2 linked regions of the Stegostoma tigrinum genome follow. The protein of the gene in region 1 purifies or fractionates together with the protein of each later gene. This does not show direct contact. Links are inferred from orthologs where the notes say so. Each region holds a gene or a part of one and is shown in the gene's direction. Other genes may lie near its edges.

Evidence for each region. Proteins that work in one complex are often made in the same cells at the same time.
Region 2: the proteins of adrm1 (region 1) and proteasomal ATPase-associated factor 1-like purify together in Homo sapiens (affinity purification with mass spectrometry; 3 studies listed by BioGRID and IntAct, counting the BioPlex papers as one, with this or other methods). This does not show direct contact. The link is inferred for Stegostoma tigrinum from reciprocal best matches to the Homo sapiens genes ADRM1 and PAAF1.

The regions. Positions count from the first base shown.
Region 1 is NC_081372.1:18,362,064-18,369,580, forward strand, and holds the start of adrm1 (proteasomal ubiquitin receptor ADRM1), read left to right. Parts: upstream 1-4,454; 5' UTR 4,455-4,588; coding exon 4,589-4,801; intron 4,802-7,517. UniProt on the Homo sapiens protein: Component of the 26S proteasome, a multiprotein complex involved in the ATP-dependent degradation of ubiquitinated proteins.
Region 2 is NC_081359.1:91,970,662-91,978,745, forward strand, and holds the start of proteasomal ATPase-associated factor 1-like, read left to right. Parts: upstream 1-5,073; 5' UTR 5,074-5,109; coding exon 5,110-5,159; intron 5,160-5,261; coding exon 5,262-5,302; intron 5,303-8,084. UniProt on the Homo sapiens protein: Inhibits proteasome 26S assembly and proteolytic activity by impairing the association of the 19S regulatory complex with the 20S core.

The DNA.
Region 1 (7,517 bases):
TGTTGAATTTCTTGCAGACTATCTTGTTTGATGGTTTCTAGTAATAGTCTTTCCCACAAGAGAAAACATTGTATTCAGTCTTATCAAAATCTTTCACACCTTATTTCACATTAATTTAGTATCCTTTGACATCTTTGCCTAACAAAAAATCAGTCTCAGATTTGAAAATTTGACATTGGATGCTGGTCAATCTCTTTTAGTGAACAGAGTTCCAGATTTACACTAATCTTTGTGTGAAAGTGTGCTTCTTACTTTCACTCTTAAATGATCTTTTTTGAGCTTAAGTCCTCTTGCTCTCCATTCTTCATCCAAAGAAAAAAAGTCTCTCCATTGTTTTAAACACCTCATTTAGATTATTCCTCAAGATTATAAATAATACTTATTATTATGAAATCTGTCCTGATAATTTAACCCTTTAAGATGCAATGTCATTCCGGTGACACTCTGCTATACCGTTCCTGTGTCTTCCTTCCTGAATGCGACACATAGTTCTGTATAAATGACTGAAGACTCATTTTCACACTTTGGAATGCCAGTCTCCTTCAGATAAGGGTTGAGAGTCCATTGGTATTTTGTGGTCATAGTTTGTACTTGCACACAATTTACATGATTTATGCACATGAGACTTTGCCTCTCCCTCGCTCCTGGTCTCTTGCTGGTAAAAAAAATTATTTGATTTGTTTTCTTCAGATTCAAAGTAAACGACCTCAGACTTATAGCCGTATAGTGTATACACATTTCCGATCTGTGGTTTCTATATCAGTCTAGTGAACCAAACACCTTACTTATTCGTTTGGCTCGAATATTGTATTGATTAAATGCAATAAATATCACGAACTGAACAGCCAGGAGAAATCTTAGCATCATGACTTTTTTGCACTTTGAACGCAGGTGAAGTCTCATGACTATATTTAGAACATGATGATCGTAAAATGTTTACTACAAATGCAGGATGATCAATTACAATGTGAGATGCCTACCTCACTACAAGTCAAAATGCAAGTGGCTATGGCCAGAAAGGATGCAAATAAAGTACAGTACATGCCTAAAGAAATAGAATAAAATCTGTTATATTTATGAGAAACATTAGCTTTATACTTGAATGCTATGTACTGCCTTGGTCTCCATATTATGAAAATGACATTGAAGCATTGCAGAAAGAGTAGCAAATAATTATGTAGTGTTAATGGAATTACATAGATGCAACTGTCAGGAAAGATTGAACAATCTGTGGATCTTTTCTCTGGAAAAATAAAATACAAAGCATTCTTATTAGGAAAATGAAACACTTGCATTCCTGTAGTACATGATTTTGAGATGACCCAAAGCATTTTGTTACCAATTAGATACTTTATGAAGTGCAATTATTGTTATAACATGGGAGAAATGGCAACAAATTTGCATGCAATAAATTCCAAAATTAGCAGTGTGATATTGAGCGACAAAAACCAGAAATTGCTGGAAAAACTCAGCAGGACTGGCAGCATCTGTGGAGAAAAATCAGAGTTAATGTTTCGGGTCCAGTGATCCTTCATCAGAGCTCAGTTAATGAAACGATAACTCTGATTTCACTCCACAGATGCTGCCAGACCTGCTGAGCTTTCCCAGCAATTTCTGTTTTGTCTCTGATTTACAGCATCTGCAGTTATTGTGTGATAATGAGGAATGGATTTGTTTTTAGAGGCATTTATTGAGAAAGAAACATTGACCAAGACACCGTGGAGTTCTCCCATGCTCTTTGAAACACTGCCACTGAATTTTTATAACTTCCTGAGAGAACATATGGGACCTTTGTGTAAAGGAGGGCAGTACATCTCACAGTGTAGCACTCATTGGGTACTGCATTGGACTGTCAGCCTAAGTATTGCTGCAATCTCTAGGAGAACAAAATCTAGGCTAAGCACTCCAGTGGAGTTGTACTGAATTATGTCTTTAAACTTGGGAATAGGTTTCACAAGGTGAATTTGAAGAAGCTGTTTCAAATTGTGTGGAACCCAGAACAAGAGGACGTAACAGTATAAAGTGGCCACCTATTGATCACTTAAAGAGTTTAGGGTGAATTATGTTACACAGAGCATAGGGAGAAAATGAAGGTCAGCTACATGGAATCATTAAAATATAAAAAATTGTTCCGTTTAAGATAAAGCTTTGTATGTGAATAAGGATAAAGAAAATCATGGTTTGTGTGATATAAAGGAAAGTGGTCTTTGGACAAGGTCATATGTTAGCTCTCATATTTTCCAATGAGAGTTTGAGTCACTGTCCTGAAAGAACTAAAGGTTTTTGTCAGTGTAACGAAGAGGTGACATTTTAGGTCAGACAATATATGTTAGGTGTAAGGTAAGACCTTTAGTTCTCTCAGGACGGTGACTTCAAAGAAATTCGGGCAATTACATATTCATATTAATCAATTAAAACCTTCGAATTGATTAAAGATTTAACAGCATCTTAGGTTTGTTTAGTACATCCTCATCAATGGTGTGATCCTTTCATCTTTTACTTATAAATTCCGTGCCTGATACTACCTCTCTCACTAACACCTGAAGAAGGAGTAAGAACTCCAAAAACTTACGTTTTTGAATAAACCTGTTGGACTATAACCTGGTGTCGTATGATCACTGAGTAACAAAGAGAAGGACAGGCTTGTGGTCCACCCCCGCTCCTTCATGATGTTTCCCAGACTTTATCTTCCTTCTTGAAGCTTTTCAGAATGGACGTTGTATTCAAGTAACATTTGCCAGCTGCTCCATGTTAACTGCCAATTAATTGGATATTTGCCTGTCACTTCAGGAGCTTTTAAGCTCCTCATTACAGGAAATAAAAAGAATGTTGATTTTTGAACATTTCAAACCAAGTTATGTGTTACACCTAATATTAGAATTGTTTAGCCAACAAGTTGTGTCTTAATGTGTTGATTCAATCCACATTCCAGTGTCTGCTAATGTCTGTACCTTTGATTCATTTCTCCCTGGAATGATATGGGGAGGGGGTGGAGGGGTGGTGCTGCTTTACTGTCTGAAACTTGTTTGAATCTTTTCTTCTAGATAACAAAGTGTTGAGCTGGATGAACACAGCTGGTCTTGCAGCATCTTAGGAGCTTGTAATGCTTTTAGTGATTTTTTTTTGTAGATAGGTGAATCTATAATTGCTTTGGAATCTATATGATTATTTGAGGAATCTTAACTAAAACCTACTCTTAGTATTATCACAGAATGATTTCATAATTCAAGAGAAACAACTAATTAGTGTGAAACGTTCTATGTCTTGTGCATGAGCAACTGCAGCTGCATATTCTATCCGAGTCCAGTAATCATGAGTCTACAGAGCTACTATTGTTCCACTTGCAAAGACCACATTAAGCAAATATTTTCCCAAGACCTCCAACTACTGTCAGCCATGTTCTGCTGCATTAGCCATGGACAGCCATCAGCCATTTTGTGCTGCTTAGTCATGGGCATCCCTAATATCATATAATCAAAAAGTGTGCACTGTGTTAAAGGAGGCAATTCAACATCCATTATCTGCTTACCATCTTGCTGGAAGAGTAGTTCCTAAGCCCTTCCCCTGTAGATCTGCAAATTACTTTAAATCAACCAATTATCCAATTCTCTTTTGAATACCTCAGTTGAATCCTCCAACATTGCTGTGTAGATGTGCTGGGCAGAGCCGATGTGGTGTATAAACACTGGCAAGGACTAGTTTTTGTAGTGTGTTTTTGTCTGGTTCCTGTGCCTTAAGGCTAGAATATGGCTGTGAAGGTAGTAGGAACTGCAGATGCTGGAGAATCTGAGATAACTACGTGTAGAGCTGGATGAACACGGCAGGCCAAGCAGCATCAGAGGAGCAGGAAGGCTGACATTTTGGGCCTAGACCCTTCTTCAGAAATTTGCTCCTCTGATGCTGCTTGGCCTGCTGTGTTTATCCATCTCCACACCTTTTTATCTTAGAATATGGCTTTGTTTGATTTGATTTATTACCGTCACGTGCACCAAAGTACAATGAAAAGTGTCGTCTTATGTGCTATACAGGCAGATCGTACTATATCGTTGATTACAAAGTGTGGAGCTGAATGAACGCAGTAGGCTAAGCAGCTCCTGAGATGCTGCTTGGCCCGCTGTGTTCATCCAGCTCCACACTTTGTTGTCTTGGATTCTCCAACATCTGCAGTTCCCATTATCTCCAGGACTATATCGTCGTTGAGACTGAAGCAGCTGATCTGCTGGCGAATGAAATATCCAGCCCTTGAGTACAGTGGAGCTGGGATCTTCTATACATGTCAGAGAAGTGCAATACCGCTCTACAGCTTTAGGAGGCAGCACATAGCGCCCAATGACACAGCACTTCCGCTCAGCTGCGCCTCAACCAAACATGACAAAGGATGGCTTACGTCATGATGATTGACGGTTGGGTTAACCATTCAGGAGCCAGAATAAGCTAGGCGGGGACTGAGTAAATCAATGGGGATTGAGGAGGGTGGTTTCAGGTTAGGTTGTGGCGGCCGTTACATGGTGCTGACTTTCGGTGGACGTTAAATTCAAGAAAGGAAGGGAAAAAGAGGCAGAAGCGGTGTCTGGTCTAATTTTCCGTCATGTCGGCCTCAGGAGCGTTGTTCCCCAGCCTGGTAGCTGGGAGCCGTGGCTCTTCCAGTAAATACCTGGTGGAGTTCCGAGCCGGCAAGATGTCGCTGAAAGGCTCGACAGTGACTCCGGACAAGCGCAAGGGGCAGGTTTATATCCAGCAGACTGATGACTCTCTCATTCACTTCTGCTGGAAGGACCGCACCGCCGGCACCGTGGAGGATGTAAGGAAACAAGCCCGTCCTCACACTCCTCCCCCAAAGCCGGGATTGGGAAGGGGTAGTCTAGTGTACTGAAGGGGTTACGGTGGGGAGATGAGGTGCTGTGGGGGATGGGGGGGTGCGTGAATGCGTTGGGAAGGAGGCTGGAGGCTGGGTAAGGAAGTGGGGGGGGGGGGGGGGGGGGCGCGAGAGAAGGGCTTAAATCACAAATTATTTTGAGTAGGAATGGCTTTATGTTTGAGGATGAAGTAAGGAGTTATGGGGTTGTAGGGTTGAGTGTAGGGGGACATTTTTTTGGGTGGTGTCTTTTGTTTGGAGGTCGTATGTGAAGGAGTTGGTTAATTTTTCTTAATGTGATAGTTGGTGTATGGATTTAGAGCGGATGGGGAGTTGAGAGTTCAGAGGTTGGTGAATTGGCTATTTATGTGATAGGGTGGTTGTAGAAAGGGTGTTGAGTTGGCTAGTTTGTGTCGTGCAGGCTGGGTGAAGACAGTGGTGGGGACCGGGAGTTGGAGGGGAGGGGGGGACACTGTTGGTGTGAGAATGGAATTTGCAGGTGATGGTGTAGTAGTTGTTTCAGTTGGAACGGAGTTTCTAACCAAAGTTTTGTCTAAACAATAACCGAAGAATAGCGGATGCTGTACATCAGGAACAAAAACAAGTTGCTGGAAAAGACCAGGTCTGGCAGCATCTGTGAAGAAAAGAACAGAGTTCATGCTTTAGGTCTGGTGACACTTCCTCAGAACGTTCTGAGCTGTGCAGTAGTTTGAAACTTCATGGGTACTGGTTGCCCCCTTGAAATTACTGTGTGTGTATGTGGCCTTTTTCTTTAAACGAAAGGGGAACAGGGTTAGATTGTATGCTGTTTGTGATTGCTAGGGGTGGAGACATTGCTTATGACAAATATCCTTGTTTTTGTTACTTATGGAAAGTTGCCAATTTTGCCAGGTACAAAACAAAGTCATGGGACAGGATGTTCACAGTTTCACATTTCATAGAGTCATAATGTCAGAGATATATAACATGAAAACAGACCCTTCAGTCCAACTTGTCCATGCTGACCAGATATCCTGTATAAATCTACTCGCATGTGCCACTATTTGGATCATATCCCTCTAAGTCTTTCCTTTCCATATACCCATTCAGTTGCCTTTTTAAAAGTTGTATTAGTACCAGCCTCCTCCATTTTGGCAGCTTGTTCCAAGCATGCACTGTTCTCTGTGGAAAAAGTTACCTCTTAGATCCCTTTTATATCTTGCCCCCTCACCTTAAACCTAGTTTTGAGCTCCCCCACCCTAGGGCAATGACCGTGTCTATTTACCCTATCCATGCCCGTTGTGATTTTATAAGCCTGTGTAAGGTCACTCCTCGGCATTCGACGCTTCAGGGAATATAGCCCCCTGCCTATTCAGCCTCTCCCTTTTGCTCAAACCCTCCAACTCTGGCAAAATCCTTGTAAATCTTTTCTAAGTTTCACAATATCCTTCTTATTAGGAGGGAGACCAGAACTGCGTGCAATAATGCAAAAGTGGCTGAACGAACTTGTTCTGTTGCTCATAAATTCATTGAACAATTTAGTTGATCAGACTTAATGCATCATGTAATGTGTCAAGCTGCAGAGGTCAGATGGTCTTGATGTCTGGGTTAATTAGCTATTGGAAATTCTTGTCGCAAATGCTGCCTGTGCTGAGGAGACCAAATTTGTTTTTAGCCATCATGCACTTTAAAGTTTAAGGGCCTGAAATGTTAATTGCATTTCTCATTTAAAGTTGTGACCTGATATATTGTGAATTTTGAGCATTTCATGTTTTTCTTTTGTCTTAGCATATGAACATGAGTTAGACCCAAGTGCAGGCCATTCAGTCCCTCAGGCCTGCCCTGCCGTCCGAAAGATCTCAGCTGATTTGGTCAGAATCTCAAATTTGACATTCCTGCCTACCCTTATTTATGACTTTGCTTGACAAGAGTCTGTCAACCTCTGCTTTTAAAATAGTCAAGGACTTTGCTTCCACTATCCTTTCAGGAAGTGATGCAAAGGCGCTCAAGCTTGAGTGAAAAGAATTCTCGTCTCGTCTAAAACCATAAGACAAAGCACCAGAAGTAGGGCGTAAGTAGCCCATCGAATCTATTCTGCCATTCAGTGAGATCATGGCTGAGCTGACAATCCTCAACTTTGTTTTCCCACCTTTTCCTATACCCCTCAATTTCCTTACTGATTATAAATCTATTTTACCTTAGAATAGACTTTGGTCCAGCCTTGACTGCCCTCTGTAATTTTAAAAAATCCACAGATTTGCTACCCTCAAAGGAACTTCCTTATCTGCCTTAAATGTGCAACCTCTGAGATTATGGTCCTGGATCTATTCTCTCCTGTGAAGTAAAACAACTTTTCCACATTTACCCTTTCAAATCCCCTAGAAAATTTGTACATTTCAATAAGGTTGCCTATCATTCTTCTGATTTTTCAATGAGTATAGAAGCACATTACCAGGAATAGCAGGACTCTCCTTTTTTTAAAAAAAAGTAAACCTGTTATAAACATATCAGACAATAAGGCTGCTGTCTCATTAGAGAGAGATGATGGTTATTTAACCTGAAGGTTACTATACTTAAGGCGAAGAGTGGTTGAGAATCTGAATCCTTCATGGTAACCTTAGCCAGTGTGGGAGTTGAATCCATGCTGTTGGCATCACTCTGCATTACAGACCAGCTGTCCAGC
Region 2 (8,084 bases), on another chromosome or scaffold:
ACCATTACCTCCAGGACACCATGGTCCACTCTTTCTTCACCCGCAACACAGCTCCATGGCAACTTCCCCTGCAACTGGCGAAGATGCACCACCTGCCCATTTGACTCCTCCCTCCCCACTATCAAAGGGCCCAAACATACCTTCCAGGTGAAGCAATACTTGCCTGCAATTCCCAGAATTTAGTCTATTGCATTCAATGCTCACAATGCAGTCTCCTCCACATCAGGGAATCAAAGTGTAGACTGGGTGATTGCTTTGCAGGCCATCTACGTTCTGTTCGCAAAAATGAGATGTTGCCTGCCACTTTAACATGCCACCCTTTTCTCTCGCCAATATCTCTTTCTCTGGCTTGCTGCAGTGTTCTAATGCTCAATGCAAACTGGAAGAACAACACCCCATTTTCTGCTTTGAGACCCTGCAGCCCTCCAAACTCGATATGGCGTTCAATAATTTTAGGGCCTAAACACTCCCATGTCCCAGCCGCCTACCCCACACACTGAGCCTTGTTATCATATAACCTGCCATTGCACACTACCTATTGTTAGTCACTAATAGTCCCCATTAACAACTATTCACCCCCTTAGCCAGATCGTTATCAACTTCTTTGTCCATCCAACTGCTTTTCTCTCTCTTCTGGCTTTATCCTATTGTTTACTCCCTACCCTATCCTATTCCCCATACATATTTTCTGCATATAAAGCAATGTTTTCCCAGCTACCATGAGTTCTGAGGAAGGGTCACTGGACCCGAAATGTTAACTCTGATTTTTTCTTCACAGATGCTGCCAGACTTGCTGAGCTTTTCCAACAACTTCTGTTTTTGTTCCAAGGTCTCTGAGACTACACACTGAGGGTCCTGCCTGAGACAACCCCATAGAGATGCAATGGGAAAAGATCATTGTCTAAGGCTTTGCAGTCAGAGTGTATGAGAGGCTGGAACACCTCAATCTGTGTGCCTTACAAAGAATGTACATTGTAAATCAACAGTATTAAATGTATTAAGGTACCTCAGTGAAACATGGTGTTGAGAGGAAAATTTAATATCCATTGCTCTTTGATGATTTCCGATTTGAAATATTTTTGCCTTTGGACTGTGAACCTGATGTGGAATGTATTATGCAAATATTAAGAGTATTACTTCTGAATTTAATCTCACCATGTAACAAATACTCTGCTATTCCATTCTTCCTAACAAAGTGGATGATCTCAAATTCATCCACATTACATTTCCAGCTACCACATTCTTGACCACTCACCCACCCTGTCTAAATCCCTTTGAAGCCTCTATCCATCCTCCTGACAATTCAGATACCCATCAACATATTGTGTCATCTCTAAACCTAGCAATATTCCAATTAGACTCCTTGTTCAAATCATTGATACAGAATGTGAACATTTGGAGCCCAAACAGTGATCCTTACAGTATCAAATTAACACAACATGCAGACCTGGGAATGATTTGTAGCTTGTAGCTATTCCCACAGGAAATGTCTTGCAATTGTATACCACATGCATCTGTCTTACACCCATCCTCACCCTCGTCTCTAGTTTATCTGCAACCACTCTATTACATCCATCATTAAACTATGCCTAAGTGGACCACTCTTTCTACTGCCACCACTTGGCTCATAAAAGAGCTCTCCATAGCTTCTCAGCTCTGAACAAATGGTCGACTTATCATTATTTCCCCTACTGTATGTAACATGTTAGAGTCCTTTTCTGCTCTTGCAATTTTAATTACCACTTCATCAGATTATCACAAATTATGAGTTCCACTCTATGTGGTACGGCTGAACTATTGAAAACTGCTTTCCTCTACTGACTTGAAATGGCTATTCAGACTGTTAGTGCTCACCGTGATGATACGTAGAATCAAAATTCTTACAGTGTGGAAAGAGGCCATTCAACCCATCAAGTCTGCACCAACTATCTGAGAGTGTTCTACCTATACCGATCCCCCACCCAATCCCCAATATGCTGCATTTACCATGGCTAATCCACCTAACCTGCATATCTTTGGATAGTGGGAGGAATCCAGAGGAACCCCATTCAGACACAGGGAGAACATGCAAATTCCACAGGAATAGCAACCCGGGTCACTGGCGCTGTGAGGCAGCAGTGCTAACCACTGTGTCGCCCTAAGACTTTATCCCTTACAGCGCTATGAAGGTTTTCATAGTGTTTATGTATGGCTTTTTCACCTGTGTACTACAGTATGTTAGAAGTGAACAATTAAGCAGCCACCGAAGGAATAAAATGCTCAAGATGAGAAAAAAAAATACTCTGTTTTCCTCTTACACTGTTTAAGCATGTAAAGCACAAAAGGTTGAAACATAGGTATCTACACCAGATGAATATCATGTATCAACCTTCAGCTATGCAGCAACTTTAATGTAATAAAACAAGAGAAGGCACTTCACTTGAGTATTGTATAAAAAGAAAGACACCAAACCCATTGAGGATTTCTGGTCAGATGACCAAAGTTTGGGCAAAATAGTGGGTTTTAATGAGTGACAGAATGGATGAAGGTGAGGTGAAACGACGAGAAAAGAGTATTTCAGAGCTTAAGGGCTAGACAGTTGAAGGCACGGATATGAATGATGAAACAATTAAAATTGAGGAAGCACAAGAGGCTAAAATTAGAGAAACATTACATATTTAAGGGTTGTGGGTTAGAGAAGATTACAGAGGTAGGGACAGGCAAAGTCCTGGAGGAATTTGAAAATAAGGAAGAGAAAATTCTCAACAACTATATCTAAAACCCTTTATCTATTAACTAAACAGTAATTAATCATATCTGTATTTTCAGTTAATCATTTGCAGCTCATGGATAAAATTTTGCACATTGCATTAGAAAAATAAATGAAATATAATTTTGAAATAATGACATCCCCACACAGGACATGTGTGTTTCTTACTGAAATTAAATGCTTTCGTCTTTCTACTAACCAAACATGTATAGTGAAATTATACAGTGCAAAATTGTCTAGTTCAAAAAAGTTCAGCTGTACGTTCCTGAGGACTAATTGAATGATTCACTAAAGTTTCTTCCTGGGCAAAAGAAAAGCATATGTTTTACATGTGAAAATGTGAGAGTTGGAAAAATTGCTTTTCTGGCTTGACTGAATTAGCATCAGCTGGTATGGAAGTTATATTTTCCTGTTTATCAATATGTCAAGGAAGGTACACCAGCTGCTGTACTTTCCCTGATTAACAAATGCTAATACAGTGCAGCTTTAAGGTCCTTGGTATCCTTGCAATAAGGAAAAAAACATGTTAAAAATAATCTGGCATCATTTTCTATCCAAGCATGGCAAAGATACCACTTCAGCATCTATGCAGACCCCATTGGACTACTTTATTCAGGTTGTACCATTTCAGGAGCATCAATCCTAGAAAAGCCTGTCATGTTCCAGGATGTTGGTTTCAACGGATCAATGATCCAATCCAAATGTGTACTTGACCAGTTATTTAATTATGCTGTAAGAAATGTACATTTAATGTTACAACTCTCACAGAACTTTTCAAAGTCTTTGACAAGGGTAACAAATCGGACGTTTTACAGTTTGGGAAAATTCCCAAGTTAAAATTAAAGCTATCTCTACTGACCAGGAGTTAAATTGGAGAATGGAAGGCTGGAGACAGATGGTCTGTGGATCCTATCCAGGTGATTTGATATGCAAATTGCTCATGATAGAGAGACTGGCCAAGATTTTCTGAGCCCATTGAAAACACGGCATGTCCATTTGTGTCCTGTCAGCAGCTAATAGTATTTTCCCTGGAGGACAGATTCAGAATTGATATGCAAAACAAATTTTAAAAAGCAATCTTTCCACCAGTTAAAAAGAGGGAAATATTGGTTTCACTACAGTTGTAAGCTTACTGCATCAAACAGGTCCAGAGCTCAGAGAATGAGGAGAAGTGAGAGCAAATAAGAGGGGTTAAAACAGCAGGCGAATATATTCAATGGCTGTAATTCATGTCAGCACAGTCAAAGAGCTGATTGGCATTTATTAGCCGTTGATACTTTTCATTAGGAAAGTGATTGTAAGCTTTTGTAAACCTCCACAGTCCATCTGACAATCTCACGGCTCAAGATTCCCACTTGTTAGATTAATTTTGTTCTTAAAGATGCTGATTGTTTTGTGCTCCTGAGATGCTGCTTGGCCTGCTGTGTTCATCCAGCTTCACACTTTATTATCTTGGATTGTTTTGCTTTATATGTCTAACATTCACTGGATTTTCTTTTGTTTCAGTGAAAATATTGCTGTCTCTGAGTCAAAGGGTTGTGAGATCAAACTTCACTCCAGAGCTGAAGAATTTGATGTAGATCAAGATAAATACAGTACTTAGGGGCTGCTGTATCATCAACCTTTGACATTTACCCTGTCACTAAGCCAATTTTGAATCGAATTTGCCAAGTCGACCTGGATTCCTGGGTTTTTGCCCTCTTGACCATTCTTCCATACGAGCCCTTGTCAAAAGACTTACCTAAGTCCACGTAAACTACATCCGCTGCACTTCGCTTATCTGCACCTCTTGTCTCTTTCTTGAAGAAGTCAATTAAATCTCTGAAAAGTTAAGGGGATGTCTTACTTCTATTTGTCCAATTGTCATGCCAAACACTGATCTGGAGGTTGAAGAAAGTCACCAAGGATGTAGTTGAAGAGCTCATTAGCGATCTTTTGAATCTCACCGCAAGACGGTGATGCTTGGGAAGAGAGGTTGAGTCCTTGCAATCATTGCTGGAGTGAAAGGACAATGGAGAAAAGGCCAGAAGGCATAGAAGTGGGCGAGATAACCCGGATGAGTTAGGACAGTTGCAGGTTAGCAATAAAATAGTATCTTCTGTCAAGAATTGAAAAATAATTAATTGTGAGTAGGCCGTTTAATACAATGATGTTTTTTCAAAAAGAAACTGTTTAAATGAACTGAAAAATCTTAAAGAAAAACGAAAGTTAGAAGTGATCATGGCACACGTAAACCCAATCAGCAAACTGACAACAGACCTTCCCACGGAGTGTCTGTACAAGGGGCGGGGGTGGGTGGAAGAGCGGGCTCTTTGCGACGGTGGCGGCGGCTGCTTGGTTTACGGCAGCGTGGCGTCGCCATGGCAGGAGGCAGGATCTTCGTCCAGAGCGACTGGGTCCGAGCTCTGCGGTAACTGTGTCTGAGGGGGCTAGGAATTTCTAACAAACCTTTTCTTGTGGTTCCTTTTCACTCCTGTGCGGGTATTAATGACGTCTCGGTTTTATCCCGCAGGGAGAATGAGAGGGAAGCGTGGGTTTCCTGTAAAAGACCCGGTAAGGATCCTGAGGGAGAGTTTGATTTGGTTAAAGAGGGTCATCATCATCAACAAGATTCTAATAATAAAGTCAGGCCTGACTGCTTGGATATGTTTATTGCCTGATTCGCATCAGTTTGCACCGTCCCCTTTCTGACAATATGGTTTACCTGCTAGAGAACTGTTTTATTTTAAAAACAGGCCTCTGTATTTCTGTTCTTTCCCAATCTATGAATCATTGCCCCCCCTCCCCACCGTTTTTAGTCCTGAAGACTTTCATTGCCAGTGCTAGGGTATGAAATTACATATTGCTGCTTAGATAGTTAAATGCAGAAAAATCAGCATAAGTACTTGGCCCAGCCCCCTCAATCCTTATCCTGCTCAATAAGCCCTTCACATCTGACATCTGCCCAGAATGCAGAATTGTGGCGAAGCAGAAGGTCCATATTCATTCCATCATATTATTATACAGTGCAAAAGTAGCCCATTGAGTCTATACTGCCAAAAATATGCAGAGAATCCCACTTTCCCACACTGTGCCCATTAGTCTTGAATGTTATGACATTTCAATTGCTCATCCAAGTCCTTGTTAAGTTGTTGTGAGGTTTCCTGCCTCAGCTCCCCTTCCAGATAGTGTATTTCAGATCCCCACCATTCTCTGGGTGAAAAAGTTTTCCTTAAATCTCTGAATCTCCTGCCTTGCACTTTAAAGATATGTCCCTTTGTTATTGATCTTTTGACTAGGGGAAACAGCTGCTTTCTTTCACGCTGTCTGTGCCCCTCAATCTTCTAGATTTTACCAGGAAACCCCTCTCAACCTTCTCTGCAGCAAAGAAAACAACATGAGCTTAGCCAGCCTCTCTTCACAGCTGAAATACTCCTTACCAAGCAACATTGTCTGTATAGCTTTTGCCCTATTACCCTGAATATTATTTAGATTTAAGTGATCATCTCATGTCATCTTGAAAGCCTAAATTGAACTTGTTTCCATAATACTTTGAGGTAGTGTGTTCCAGATCCTGGCTACTTGCTGAATTTATCTGACACCACAGTTGCTTCTCTTGCAAATTATCTTATATCTGTGGCCTCTCGTTCTTGATTCTTTTGGGGGAGGGAACCATTTCTCTCTATCTACTCTACCCAGTTCTCTCAGAAGTTTTTCATTTCTTATCAAGTCTCTGCTTTGCCTTCTCCTCTCCAGAAACAAACACAAATTATTTAAATATATGTTATCTTTTGCCCTCAGCCTGTCTATCCAACCTATTCTTAAATGTTGCTTCAGATACAAACTTTAGTGCATTTTTTGGATTTCACAGTTGTGTGTTTAAACAAAAACTGTTCTGTTCTTTTTCCTGACCTTGAATTAATTTTGTTTCTGCTGACTTGTAACTGGAAACCCGTTAAGTATATTTTCTGTTTACTCCAGCAATGTTTTCAGATTTGCTTAGAACCCACCTTCACAAAATTCAGTGAACATTCACTCCTGAAAGCAGGAGTGGCTAGTCAGCAATTGGGCATGGGGGCCATGAAGCTTTTATTACTCCCTGATCTGGAACACTAAATTTCGCTTTAATATCTATCCTGTTTTGAAGGAACACTTTACTTCCGCAAAACTAGATAGTGGTGAAACAAATAAGCAAAGACCAAGTCGAGACAAGCCAATCATATTGAGGTGGCCAGTATGATTTTTGATGACTGCTTCCATTTCACTCATCAACTTTTGTTCAACCTCAATATTTGACTTGTACACCCCTGGAAGTCTCAAAACAGCTTTTTCCAGACATTTTGACAAACACCAGTTCCTGGCCCTACCTGCTGAACTGCTTGTTAGTCCAGTATTGACTTCCACTCTGACCTATGCTATCTGCCACACCATAATCAACCAAGTTGAGCTCAACAAGTGCTACCCACTAGCAAAAACTATGCTCGCTATTGTGTAGAAGATGACCATTTCTTGAAAGTGTAAAGTCATTTGTTGTGCTTTGGAAAATGGCTCTGGACCTTATTGCAGATGTGCATGGCTTTCCACACTGATTAGATTAGATTCCCTACAGTGTGGAAACAGGCCCTTCGGCCCAACAAGTCCACACCGCCCCTTGCAGCATCCCACCCAGGCCCATCCCCCTATAACCCACACACCTCTGAACACTACGGGCAATTTAGCATGACCAATCCACCTAGCCTGCACATCTTTGGACTGTGGGAGGAAACCGGAGCACCCGGAGAAAACCCACACAGACACGGGGAGAATGTGCAAACTCCACACAGACAGTTACCCGAGGCTGGAATCGAACCCGGGTCCCTGGTGCTATGAGGCTGCAGTGCTAATCACTGAGCCACCATACCACCATGGTCTGGATAAATTTTGTTTTTCTCTTGGGGCATATAAGAATGAGGAGTAGGAGCTTTTTCTCCTCCCGTCCTGTGGCAGATATGCAACATTTTCTGAGGTTTGCCTTTAAAGAGCACGAGCCTTCATTTTGGCCTCCCTGTTAGACTCTGTCCAAGTTCAGATTATAAACTTGTGACCATCATAAGGAATTTATTATCAACCATCAATGCCACATGCCCATTTCACCTAAGCTGGACTCTGCTGTTGGAGCATTTCAGTTCAAGACACTTATTCTTAAAGTAACTCAATGTTCAGCACTTTGTTATCCTATTTATTGCTCATGATGGTCTAAATGATCTCGCATAGAACCTGTCCAGTTACATTATAATGTTAAAATAGATATTCTGTGTCTCACAGACAGTTGGGAGGGCATCAGCACAGTTTTGTTCAGGACCTTTTGAATTGTTCG